Caenorhabditis elegans: one gene and its partners. The protein of the gene in region 3 purifies or fractionates together with the protein of the main gene of each other region. This does not show direct contact. Each region holds a gene or a part of one and is shown on either strand. Other genes may lie near its edges.

Region 1 (5,647 bases), on a different chromosome or scaffold from region 3:
CTGTTTTTAAATACTTGGCCTAGAAAAGCCCAATTCGGCCAACGATTTATCTAAAATTAATTTATAAATTCTTTACCCCAACTTTTTCTGAAACTTTCCGAAAATTGCTCAATTAATGTATAAACTTTTTTTAAAAATAAATGCAGATATTACCCACACGCAAAGCTTTGCGATTGTTGCACGGTCTCAGCACGCGCGTGTGCCTTCAAGGAGTACTGTAGCTTCGAAGTTTTGCTGCTGCACAGAGGTTTCATCGATTTTTCATAATTTTTTTTTGAAAATCTATTTGTTTGTTATAAAAAAAGGAAATACTCAACAAATCTATGAAAAATCGATAAAAATTCCACAGCAACGAAAGTTCGAAAATACAGTACTCTTTAAAGGCGCACACCTTTTCGCATTTAGCAAAAAATTCTCGTTTCGAGACCAGGACACCGTACTTTTCGCGCAAAAATCGCGAAAGTTGCTGTACAATTTTTTTGTTATTATTAACACCCTCATCTTGTAAAAATTCCAACTAAGGTATAAATTCTGTAAACGCAATTTTTATTATTATATTAAATTCAACAAGCAAAAAATCACTAATTTAACAAATTCACCGGCGTTCAACATTTTTCATCAATACTCGTCTAAAACAGCCAAATAATCATTAAAAGTACAAAAGAGCACCGAATTCGCGGACATTTTTGTTGCTCCATACAGAAGATTCGATCCAACATCCCGATTCTCGTGGACAATATCGAGAGTGTCCGAATTCAGAATACTGTAGCCACCGTACATGCAGGAAGTACAGTACTCTGAGCCAACTTGTTCAATGTTCCAAACTCCACCAGAGAGCTGTAATTGGAAAATAATTTAAATTTCTCGTTAAATTTAGGGGAAATTTTCAAAATAACCAATAAATTGTTAGGTCTATAAACGCGAAGGACGGTAAAATAAAGTCGATTCGCACCTGAAAGGCCTGGATTTTTTATTTTGAATACGTAGAATCTGGTGACACGTGGCGATATGAGATCCTGCACGTGGCACAGATAGTGTTCAATTTTTCGAAATTCTGAGGTTGCGTATTTCGCAACATATTTGACGCGCGAATATCTCGTAGCGCTGGTGTCGATTTACGAGAAAATCGAGCCCGTAAATCGACACAAGAGCTACAGTAGTTTTTTTACGAGATATTTTGCGCGTCAAATATGTTGTGCAACACGCACTCTCAGAATATTATGCTCCCATAATATATCATACCTTTTTCTCTTTGAGCACAGTTTTTAAATTCCTTCGATCGAAAATCCGGACGTGCTCGTCATAGCTTCCAGTTAGAATTTGATCTTCGTTCGAAGCCGGGAAATCAACAAAAACAACACCGGCTTCGAAAATTTTTGATTGACCGGTTTGAGTTCGGCTGCGAGCATCCCAGAGTCTGAAAATTTGAAGATTTAAAACCCCTCTGTTTGAATTTTGAATTCCCTCCAAAATGAGAACTGCAGGACCAATCAGCGATTTGCTCCGCCCACCCCTTCTGATTGGTTTGCAGTTCTCATTTTGGAGGGAATTCAAATAGAAAATTGGTTTTTCCTTCAAACCTACTTCATTGATCCGTCCTCTCCGCCAGTTACAACTGTCTGAGCATCTTTGCTGATCGCACAAGACCATACTTCACATCCTTCACCAGGAACGTACGGAAGCGAATGAGCAAGCCACGTGGAAACGATGAGTGATGTGTTCAGGTCGACGATGTACGCGTGGCCCTGAAATGAACTGATTTCAAAAAATAGAGAAAAAAACGTTTAAATGGGCAAGCGCGCTCCACAGCGAAATGAGAACGCTCCGCCTCTGGGTCTCGTTAGGTATTGGCGCCAAAAAAAAACAACAAAAATACATATTTTCTGACACAAAATTGATGTAAAATTCAGTTTTTAATGTGATTTTTCGAAATTAAGGTTTTGCCGCCATTACCTATTGGGACCCAATTCTTGGCAGTAGAGCGCACTTGCGCGTTGTTCTGCGTCTCTGGAGCTCCACGTGGTGTCAGAGTGTCTCATTTTGACTTGATATACGGAGATCTACAAAAAATGCGGGTTCTCAACTGATTTCGCGTAGTTAAGAACGTGCTGACGTCATTTTTTTTTTGGATAAAATTCCCGCATTTTTTGTAGATCAAACCGTCATGGGACAGCGTGGCACCACTTGGCTTGATAATAACGCCTACAGAGCAGTTCTGAGAACTTGCTGCGGCCTCACAAGTGACACCCCAGCACACCATATCTACGAGGAAGCGACCAGATTGCCCCTGAGAGAAGAAATTGAGCTTAGAAGACAACAATTCCAGATTTCGTCAATAAATACGCCAGGACATCCATCCAAAGACTTAAAGCTCAGAAGGCCGACGGAAAGAGCGTCAAATAGGCCAAGGGAGCCTCCGTTAGATTACCCTAGCAACACCACGAGCAACTGGCAAATTCCTCAAATGACCACCAAGGCCATCCAGAAAGCAAACCATAGGAAATTCGTGCAGGAATTTCTGAACAAGAAACCGGTGAACAACGTGCTGGGCACCCCTGCCCCAGCGGTGGCCGAGGAAGAGAAATCACTACCAAGGGTGAAGCAGAGTGGAGCTAGCAAGGCTGAGATGTGGACATTCCACGATGGTACCCGGCTACTTCGCGATACCGACCTGTGGGAAATGTGGCGATCAAAGAGGAAATGTGGCACACTTGTTGGGATGCTCAACCCAACCCCCGCTAACGCCATCAAAATTGTGGTCGGATCCGAAAACGGTGGCTGAGGCCCTGGGCCTCCCCACCAAAATATTCGACCCTCCGCACCTGCAGTGGTCTCACCAGTGATTCTCCGACTCAGCACATCTATGAGGAAACGGAGAGGCTTCCTCTTCGCGAGGAAATTGAGCTCCGCAAGCAGCAATTTGCAATTGCAGCACTGAACACCCCTGGCCACCCATCCAAAGACCTAAAGGCAAGAAGACCCCTTGAGAGGACGACCAACAGGCCCAGAGAGCCGCCGTTAGACTATCCGAGCAGCACCACCAATGCCTGGACAAATCCCCGCTCAACGACCAAGGCCATTCAGAAGTCCAACCACCGAACCTTCATCAAAAACTTCCTAAACAGCAAGAAGCCGAACAACGTACTTGGACGCCCTGCCCCCGCCATAAATGGTGAGGAAAGCTCCTTGCCGCGAGGAACAAGAGTGGAGCTAGCCAGAATCAGATGCGGTCACTCAACCATGGTCCCAAGCTATTTCGCGAGAATCAACAACGACACGGTGCCAGCCTGCAAGAAGTGTGGCGATGTCACAGGGAATGTGGAACACATGCTGAGATGTTCTATCCAACCCCCGCTCACTCCGAAAAAGGTGGCAGAGGCACTGGGCCTCCCCACCAGAACTTTCGATCCAGGCGGATCTCAATGATCCAAGGACCTCCACGGATCCATCGCGGTGCTTTGCACCACTACTACTACTACTACCCTGGAGGAACTCACTGAGGCATGGACGCCCATGGCGCCCTTCTGGTGGTGCTTTGCACCACTACTACTATAATACCGGCGAGATCACAGTACTTTGTTGTCAGTTGTAATAGTGAGGGAAGAATCCGAAAGTCCCAAATCCAAAAGCATATCCGACGATACAGGTGTAGTTTCGGATGATACAGGTTCTGAAAATCGTCCTGCTCATTTGAAATCTCAGGCACAATTCAAACCTTCAATTTTCTGAACCACTAGTGATCCATCGGTTAGCGCTGCAACTATCGTCGACGGATTTCGGAAATCGAATCGAAACACTCCAGCAGAAGTGCTAATCTCATTTTCCAACTGTAGCCCGTCGGCTTCATCAATCTTCAAAATGCACAGTGAGCCGGATCGAGTGTCTGAAGATGTATCGAGAAGATACGTGGATACGCAAGCACGTGATGTGTCCTCTGATGGTATCCGACGAGCAAATGCTGGGCGATTTGACAGCTTCACACTTTTTGATCGCATTTAAATGAGCTCAAAAAATTTGTAATTTTGAAAATTTACTAAAAATGCGGTTTTCAAACGTAAAATGTTTCAATTTTTCGTCAAAAATACGGTGTCCGGTCTCGACACGAAACAATTTGTTGTTAAATGCGAAAAGGTGTGCGCTTTTAAAGAGTACTGTAATTCCAAAATTTTTCGTGATGTGGAATTTTCATCGAATTTTCAGTTTTTTAGAAATAAAGTATTATTTTAACGAATAACGTTAAGAAATCGATAAAAATTTTACAAAAACCAAAGTTTGAAATTACAGTACTCTTTAAAGGCGCACACTAGTTTGTATTTAACCAAAAAATTGTCGTGTCGAGACCAAATACCGCCGTTTTGGCTCCAAAACCGCCAAATTTCGAGTCTATACATTGGTGAACTATTGAGATTGGAATAAGACACATATTCATGGAAAAAATATTGGGAATAATTTAAAACCCATGAGGATCGTGATGGAAATTATAGCAAAAAAATTAAAGTTTCCAGTTTGCAGGAATGGTAAAAATAAATACAATTTGAAATACATATATAAAAAAGCAAGATTAATTCTTCGAGGCGGCCTCCGATGATGTCTCTTCAGGCTTCGGAGTCTCTGATTTCTGCGCAACTCTTTGTGCTTCGATCGCAGCGTCTGCCTTTTTTTTGTCTGTTTCGGCCTCTTGTTGACACGCTCTGCAAATGATTTTTTTTCTCTCAATTGATTTCTCGATTATGACGATCAAATATTTGATCGACACTTATAATTCGAGTGGAAAATCGACGAAAAAACTCAAAAACCTACCTAATCAGAACTTTTGCCGCTTGAATATTCCTCTTCAACCGTTCACAGGTCAACTTATTGAATGTATATGTTGGACGAACGTCTTTCCCGATTTCTTCGATCAACTTGAGCAGAACTTCGTAATAAGGAGTGCCTTCTTGCATCTGAAATCATTATTTTTTCAATTAAAATTGTATATTTAGATTTTTTTTTAAATATTTTACCTGAAGATTCGGCACAATTGAGATAAGCGTTTGAAGATCTTCTTGTGTCGCCATTTTTCTAAAACAAAATAGGTTGAATGAATTACTGCGAGAAATCAATAAAAATACAGAGAACGGGAACACCACCGTTCTCTGCGTCTCTTTTCAAAACACGTTTCAATGGAGCACATTTGCTTTAGGATTTTGGCGGTTATTTTTACGATATTTTTTTTTGAGAAATCGAAAAACCAAACAATTTTGTTTTGTCGAAATTTTGAAAAAAAAAAGGATTTTTGGAAAAATATAATTTTCCTCTTTTTAGAGAAAAACTATCTGTTTCTTATGATTTGTTCTCATTAACATAAATAAAATTTGATAAAAAATAGTTTTTTTTGTTAATTTTCTAAACATTTTTCCAATTTTTCGGTTTTCCCGGTCTCGCCACGGCAAATATTGGTTAAATGCGGAAAAGGTGTGCGCCTTTAAAGAGTACTGTAATTTCAAACTTTTGTTGAAACGTACGGAATTTCATGATTTGCAGCAACACAAGTTTGAAACTACAGTACTCTTTAAAGGTGCACGCCCGTTTGTATTTAACAAAATATTGTCGTTGTGAGACCGGGTACCGTATTTTTAGTGTGAAAATTGCAAAATTTTGCGGCTGG
Region 2 (3,836 bases), on a different chromosome or scaffold from region 3:
AACTACGGTAGTTCTCGGAGTACGCAACTTGCGTACCGGGCATCTCATTTGACGCACAGAATTCCTAGTTTATTGTTTTTGGATTTTCAAAATTTCAAACATAGTTTTTGCATTTTTCCTGTCGTTTTTGTGATTTTTATTTGTGAAAATTTATTAGACAGAAAAGAAATTTTCAGTTTTCACGAAATTTACTGGAAAATTTGTTATTTTACCGTTAGGTAACGTATTTTACAAAGATATTTCACTTTATCCGTATTTTCTTATTGTTTTCTTCACTTCAAACGATTGAAAACTGAATCAATCAAATAAATTTCCTATTTTTCAGGTAATTTGTCAAAATGACTGGCTCATCTCGTGGAATTGTCGAAATGACAAAGAAACTGGATCGATTAAATTGTTAGTGTTAAAATGAAATTTGCATCGGATTCAGTTTAAAATTTGCTTATTTTCAGATCGAAGAAAAGACCACTTACGCTTTTAAGCATGCCAGTTGATGTTATGGAGAAAGTTATGAAGAAAGTGGATCCATACGATTGGTATCAAATTTTGAATGTTAGGCAAATGTTAAAAAAAAACCAAATGAGTTTCAGGATTTCCGTCCGCAATTCCAATCGAAATCTTCGAGATTTCGTCGACAGCCAGCACCTCAAATTGGACATTGATGTTTCTATTGAGGGCACTTTTCACACCATTGATATCAATGGAAATCAATCCTTCGGACCTTTCCATCCGGTCGTGGCTGATGATGAAAGAAGAACCATCTACAATAAAAGACTACAGTTTGCTCTCAGAAAATTGTTCGTGGTTATGAAGCTTCCAAGTGCCCAAATTGAAGAGTTCAAACTGGATTTTGACTTTATGGGAAGAGGAAGTGACGAATTTGAAGATATCTACGATATTGGTTCCAGAAGAGTTAGTTTTAAAAATAAACTGTTGAGTGCAAGCCTGAGAACAATCGATAAGGAGTTTGGAGAGTTTCACTGTTTCCAAGCGAAATCAGTTTCTCTGAGTGGACTAAAGGAACCTCGAACTGTGCTCATTCTCAAATCTTTCAAGTCTGGAACTCTCGAGAACATTGAAATCATTAATTCCTACAAGTTCTACTTCAGTTGGCAGCTGACGCTTTCGGAGCAGTGGAAGAATGCGAAAAAACTGAAAACTGGACTTTCCACTGATCGCTACACCGGAATTCGAGTTGCTGAACTGTTCGCATTTTCAAATATCGAATTCACAACTGTAGTATTGTCATCTGATTTGAAAGTGGTATAGAAATTCTTAATTATTGATTAATTAATTTTAGATTTTTTTTCAGTTGGTTGATTCGTCTGCAAAGCTGGAAACTTGTCTCAGCAGGAACACGTATGACAGCGAGGATGACAGCGATGAAGATAGTGATGAAGACAGCGATGATGAGGACAATAGTGGAGTGTTAACGGTGTCAAAAGAAGTGCTCAAAGTGTTCGATCCGAACTTTGTTGGCTATAACGGAACAATCAATTACAAAGCAAATGGATTCGAATATCTCATTGAAGTCACTGAATTCGAAACTAAAATTGTGAAGAAAATCGAATAATCTTCTCATTTTTCAAAATTTGCTTTTGTTTTACTAGTCACATGAATTCTTATTTTGTTACTTTTTTTGTTTTGAAACTGATTAAACCAATAATTTGGGTTACGGCTGAATGTTACCTTCCGTTTAATATTTTGTAATCTTCCCAGTTTTTCTATATTTTAAAAGGAATTCTCGAATAGTTAACAAAGATCCTTTTCCAAACTACGGTAACTCTCAGAGTACGCAGTATGCGTACCGGGCATCTCATTTGACGCACAAAAATTCTAAATTTTTTTTTGAATTTTCAAATGTGGTTTATGCGTTTTTCTAACCAATTTTTTGTGATTTTTCCCCTGAAAATGATTTAAAATAAGTAAAATAACCTGTTTTTGTAAAAATTAATTTCGTTTTTACACATTGAACGTGATTTTCTATATTTACTCAAATTAATTTTTTTCAGGTAATTCGTCGACATGACTAGCCAAAGAGCAGAAATTGGTGAAACGACGGACAAGCAGAATTCCATGAAATTGTTAGTTATTTAGGCTACAATAATTTCAAATAACTTTTTTAAAACACATTTTCAGATCGAAGACAAGCTCGCCGACGCTTTTTGACTTGCCTCTGAATATTATGAAGAAAATTGTGAAGAAACTGCATCCATACGATTGGTAAGATCAAATAAATAAAAATTATATTTTTAGAAAGTATAATAAAAATATTTTCAGGATTTCCGTTCGCAATTCCAATGGAAATCTTCGAAGCTTCATCGACACCTTGAAACTGGATTTGGACATTGATATTTTTATTGAGGGCCATAGGTACACCATTGTTCTCAATGGAAAATCATTTCGTTATCGGTATAGATTTGTGCCTTATGATGAAATAAGCAACGCTCGCAATGAACCTTTCCATCCGGTCGTGGCTGATGATGAAAGAAGAACCATCTACAATAAAGGACTACAGTTTGCTCTCAGAAAATTGTTCAATGTCATGAAGCTTCCAAAAGCTCAGATTGAGAAGTTCAGTCTAGATTTCGACTCAATTGGAGGATATGAAGACTATGTCCACAATGAACGGTTGAGGTCAAGCCTGAGAACAATCGATATGGAGTTTGGAGATGCTCACTGTTTCCGAGCGAAATCAGTTTCTCTGAGTGGATTCAAGAAACCACGAGCTGCGCTAATTCTCAGTTCTTTCGATGCTGGAACACTTGTGAAATTTGAGATTATGCGTTGCATCTTCAACGATATTCGTCCACTAACTTGCTTGGAACAGTTTAAAAATGCAAAACAATTGCGAACTGATCTTAACATTTGCTCCGTCTTTGGATTTACTGTGTCGGATCTTCTTGGATTTTCAAGTATTGAATTCACCAGTCCAGAGGTATCGCCAAATGATCTGAAAGAGGTATAGCAATAATCAATTTTTAGTTGATTTAATTAAAATTCTTTCAGTTGGTAAATTCGTCTACAAAGCTGGAAACTTGTGTCGTCAGCAAGCAATTAGATGATAGTGAATCAATTGCAGAAGAAATGCTCCAAGAGTTTGATCCTACCTTCGCTGGCAAAACCGGAACCATCAATTACAAGGCAAATGGATTTGAATATGTCATTGAAGTCACTGAAGAGCGAGTGAAAATTGAGAAGAAACTCGGCTGATTATTTAATTTTAATTTTTGTTTTTTGGTTTTTCAAAAATTGTTGTTTAATTTATTGTTGTTCATCTCGTTCTCATGAATTTGCTTTTGTCATTTTTCTTTGATCAACACTGGAAGGCTAATAGACTACAAACTAGACATTTTATAAGCCTAAGCCAAGAAAGTACATTGAAAAAACGTCGCTTCCGGTAAAGAAAATAAATCAACCGAAAGCGAAACTTGACTTTTTTTTGAAAATTATTTATGGAAAGTTCATGTTTTTAGTCGTTTTAGTGAAAAAATTTAAAAAAAAAAATTAAAAAAAAAAAAAAAATCAAGTGCTTAAATAAATTATATATTTTTGAAAAGAAAAATGAATTTATTCCTGCTCTAAGCTACAAATTTGTCATATTTTGAACCTTTCTTCTAGAAATTTTAGCTGAAAGTGAAGAATATACTAGCAAAAATTGTAAATTAATTTTTTAAAAACGTTTTTAGAAATTTTAAATTTTTTCACAAAAAAAAAATTTCCCAAAGTGTTTTTTCAAAATTCAAATTTTAATTTTATTACAAGCCCAAAACGTGTAACGAGTTCTATAACAATGATCTGGACCGCAAAATATGTCATTTTTGCAGCTATTTACA
Region 3 (4,609 bases):
AATCCCTATAAAAATATTTTTCAAAATCAAATATTTTTTGAATCGAAATACGTTAGTTATTCATTGAACAACCATATACAAAAAAGGTCAGCTTTCCGAGGTTGATAGTTGTTGTAGTTTGTAGTCTGTGAGATCACACCTTTGCTGTGAAAACTTACATAGAAAATTTCAATTTATATAAATTATGGACGGAAAATCTATAAACGTGTTTTTTAAATTTTCATTGAAAATTTAATTTTAAAATTTTCAAAAATTTTGGCTAAAAACCGAAAAAATTATACCATTACAATATTTATAATATACAGCAAAACTATTTTTTTAAATTTCAATTTTGGCGCAAAACCCCAATTTCACAATTTTCAACATTTTTTCTTGAAAATATAAACGTTTCCCGGAGGATATTAAGAAAAATTGGCATTATTGATTTTGATGGTATCCAAATTTCAAATAATTTAATTTTAGACTCCGCCCATTTCTTGGTTTTTGTTCTCCATTTGTTTTTTATCAGATTTTCAGATTTTTTGAAAATTTTTGAAATAACCTTTTTTCCGAATTTTTGAGAAAAAATTTCTCAAAAATTCGAAATTTAGTTCCTTTTTCATAAATTTTCCTCAAAACTAGAAATTTTTTAAATTATCACTCCGATCAAAATATTCTTTCTTCTGCATAGTCATTTCCCTAAGTGATACGTCCAAACAAGAATTTTATGCATAATTTCTTATCGTTGAATTCCTGCTGCAAAATGATAAAATTTGATGATTGAATTCTAATGTATGTGTTTTGAGTTTGTGGCATTAATTTCTACTTTTCAAAAACTTCAGCTGGGAGATATTCTTATTGGCAGAGTTTTTTATTTAAAAATGTTTTGGAATTTGTTTTTTTCCAACATAAGAGAAACATATAAAATTCAATTAAATGTCAAAATATAGGCTCAATTTTTTTTTAAATTTTCCAATATATTTTTCCATTTTCAAGGGAAACTAATTTTTTGAAAATTTTGGCTGGAAATTCAAAATTATATTCATTTTTTCATTTTTTTTCAATTTTTAAACCCAAATATTTATTTAATTTATGATAAATAACGTCCCGAGTTATTCAGAAATAAATAATATTTACCTAAAATTTGAGGAAAAAGTCAACAAAAAACAGTATCAAATGCTATCAGTTGTAAAAATTCTCAAAATATTCAAAATTGAGTTGACTCGATATCAAAAAAGATATCAAAAATGAATACCTAACAATAATATTTGTAAGTTTTATTACTTTTTTGGACAACAAAATTATAGAAAAATTAAAAAAAAATTTTTATGAACATTTTTTTCCAGAATTTTTTTTCTCAAAAATATGTGTTTTGCAACTTTTCAAAAATTTAGCAATTACTCAAGATTGATAGAATAAGCTATTTTAACATAAAAACTACTTCCTGTAACCCATTAATTTTCCTCAACGAGAGTTAATAACACCTCCCCCCCTTCAAAAAAAAATTCGGAAACAATACTATTATGTCGATCAACTGGTAATCCATCCCCTTTCACCGAACATCAAACAAGTTTCATTCTCTGCGTCTCTCACCTCTCTCTCTCACTTTTTGATAAGTTCTATTCCCTTTCTGTCAACTAGTAATAAGCCTTCCCCTCACACCCAAACCCGAATATCACTTGAATTTCTATACTATGATATTATACTACGTGTCTACGTCCAATTAGACTGATAATGTTTGATTTTTGACGTTTTTTTCGAAAATCGCATGCTTATTATGAATAATATTGAGGTTTGATTTTGTTCTTTTTGGGAAAAGTGGTTAGAAGTGGGGTTACTTGACTTTTCAAGTTTTTTTTTTTAGAAATCAAAGTTTTGAACAAAGAAACCACTTTTCTTCTTTGGCGCCTAACTAGTTGTGGGATTTTATTTGAACGGCACCATCCAGAATTTCCTGTACTAGTTAGTTTTGAAATGTTTGAATAAAGTTGATTTTTTGGAAAATTGAAAATTTTCGAATTTTCAAAATTTTCTGGAATTTTTTTTTGCTTCAAAGTTGCGAATACCTAATTGAATTTAAGTTTTCCGCCATTTTTTGAAAAATTAGAATTTTGCACTTACACCACGATTTTCTAAGTTTAAAAAAATACGAAATGTTTTTGGAAATTTTTAATATGAAATTTGCGCCAAAAACTTTTTTAAGAATTAAAAATAAAATTTGAACTTTACAGGTAAACTTGATCAAATTTTTCGAATCTGAGTTTTTGCCAAAACATTTTTAGAATGAAATTTTAATTTCCCCCTTTTTTTCAATTATTTTTTGTTGAAAATTTAAATCTTAAACTCCAAATTTTTTCACCAAATTTTTTGAAAAATTCAAAAAATTTGAATAAACTGTAACTGAATTTTTCCTGCTAAAATTTCTAGCAAATTTGAATTTACAGCCAAATTAATATTAAATAGAAATTTAACTTCGAACTCACTGAAAAAATTTTTTTTTAATATTAAAATTTGAATTATTTACCATTTTTGAATATAAATTTTTCAAAAAAATTATAGATTCATTCGAAAATTCCACAAATTCCAAAAATATTGTTTGCTCAAAAACTTCCCTTAACTTACAAGCACACAACATTTCCTGTTTATCAGTTCTTCCGCTTTCTTCATAATTTTATCTTACTTCTACAATTTCAGCATTATATTTGCAGAAGTCAACAAGCGTCGTTGATGATTCAGAGTTAGAGGACTCAGAAAAAAGTGAGTTTTTTTTTTAAATAACAGTTTTATTTTTTTAAAAATTTTACGTAAAAAATACCATAAAAATTGCTTACATAGAGCCCTCCCATTTCTTGGCTCTGCAAGCTGAAATATCATAAAAAATAAAAAAAATAAGATACTGTATATTATAAATATTGTAATGGTATTTGTTCCCAAATTGCATACAAAATATGTATTTTATTATATTCTTCAATCTCATACGCGACATATAACGAAAATCTATGGGATTACCCCAAATAAAATTCTAAGACACAAAAATGTCCCTAATCTTAATCCCCAAACCTCTGACACCTAGGCTGCGGAATTCCCGATGAGAAAATTTTTTATTTAAATATTTTTCCCTTTTGTGAAGGAAAATTATACTTTTAATCGGGTTTTAAGTTGGAAAGTATATCAAAAAATGATAAGAACATTTGAAATTATACTTTTTTGGTTCATTCTAATGATCGCAAAAATTTTTGAGTTGATCCTATCGATGCACCATTTTTTGTAGCTATACTTTGGCTCATATCTCTGTTAATTTTACAGGTTAGAAAACATTTTTTCTGTTGACTTGTAGAAAAATAGTTAACAAGTATTTGGTCAGTTGACGATTTTTTGATGAAACCAATAAGAACTGAGATATGATCTTCCAAAGTTAAGACCATACCGGAACCTGGGTTTTATAGAGGCAATAGAGGCAATAAACATTCCATTAGCTTCAAAACTAATTTTTCAAAAATTCAAAAGTTTCGGGAAGATTCCACCTACCACAACAAAAAAATCACATTATTTTCTTCCTCTTTCTCTCCCCCCCCCCCCCCCCCCGAGACTAGTACAGATTATCGACGATTCAATTCAATAACCACACCAACTTTTTTTTTATTTTTTTTTTTTATGCAGGGTGTGGGCAGGCTTATCAGAGCACTCACCTTTTAGCGCTGACCTTTTTTTTCGTATCGGTTTTGATTCAGAACTTTCTGAATTTTATGTTTTAAGTTTGATGTTTGCTTTTTTGTTGCTTAATCAAATAAATTTGAATGCACAGTGTTGACATTTTCCTCGCCAAAAAAAATAATAAAAAAGTGGTCCTATCTGAAAATTTGCATAACTTTTGAACCCTGTATATTCCCTAAAAGAAAAACCTTTCAAAAAAAATTGGTGAAATTTCAAAATAACAAAAACATTTTTCATAGAGATATTGCTGAATTTGGTAAACTTTTCAACCAGCTGTAAATAACATTATCTTGAAAACATTTCACAAGTTTTAACAAAAATTCGATTGAAAAATTTGAAAAATATTGTAAATTTTTTCACTATTATTTACGTGACTTTTAGATAATTATATAAATATTTATTTTTTAACCGAAAAAAACTTTTTTTACACGTACATATCCCAGCTCAATTTTTTATACAATAATTTTATTTCCAAAACGCGAGAGTTTGAGAAAAAGTGGGTTTTTTCTTTAATTATCAGTGGGAGTTTCAAATTTTGAGCCTTTAAAATAATTAAAACTGCTCTCGAACTTTGATTCCTCATAATTTTTCTTCTCACCAATAAAAAAATAATATTGTTATCTTATATGATGCTGAACAGAGGGGGTGTCTAGGGAGACGAAGCATAGACAAACGGAATTTGAGTTGAAGCTTATAAGAGATACCCTATTGGTTTCCATTTATTCATTATTATCTGTTTTTTACTTTTTAGGAAAGACTTTTTTTAATCTGAAAAATCTCTAAATTTTAAGTTTTAATATATTTTCAGTTTTGAAATCAAAATCTCTAGAAAAAAGTTGTTCTTCATTTTGTTTTTTTTTTGTATTGATAGCTTCAAAGCTAACCAAGATATTGCTTTCCAAAGTTTAGAAGCAAA

The links. The genes of interacting proteins can lie anywhere in the genome.
Region 1: the proteins of glct-6 (region 3) and dph-7 fractionate together in Caenorhabditis elegans (co-fractionation; one large-scale study listed by BioGRID). This does not show direct contact.
Region 2: the proteins of glct-6 (region 3) and fbxa-101 fractionate together in Caenorhabditis elegans (co-fractionation; one large-scale study listed by BioGRID). This does not show direct contact.

What each region holds. Positions count from the first base shown.
Region 1 is NC_003281.10:13,313,482-13,319,128, reverse strand, and holds dph-7 (methylated diphthine methylhydrolase), read right to left. Parts: upstream 4,005-5,647; 5' UTR 3,996-4,004; coding exon 3,716-3,995; intron 3,671-3,715; coding exon 3,576-3,670; intron 1,746-3,575; coding exon 1,585-1,745; intron 1,418-1,584; coding exon 1,243-1,417; intron 838-1,242; coding exon 619-837; 3' UTR 532-618; downstream 1-531. Other genes in the region: Y43F4B.10 (uncharacterized protein), read right to left, coding at 4,562-4,691, 4,801-4,943, 5,004-5,057.
Region 2 is NC_003279.8:12,958,109-12,961,944, reverse strand, and holds fbxa-101 (DUF38 domain-containing protein), read left to right. Parts: upstream 1-2,012; 5' UTR 2,013-2,025; coding exon 2,026-2,084; intron 2,085-2,139; coding exon 2,140-2,223; intron 2,224-2,280; coding exon 2,281-2,962; intron 2,963-3,009; coding exon 3,010-3,213; 3' UTR 3,214-3,305; downstream 3,306-3,836. Other genes in the region: fbxa-140 (F-box domain-containing protein), read left to right, coding at 484-536, 591-1,263, 1,313-1,573.
Region 3 is NC_003282.8:3,782,611-3,787,219, forward strand, and holds the start of glct-6 (Galactosylgalactosylxylosylprotein 3-beta-glucuronosyltransferase), read left to right. Parts: upstream 1-1,599; 5' UTR 1,600-1,747; coding exon 1,748-1,771; intron 1,772-2,687; coding exon 2,688-2,736; intron 2,737-4,609.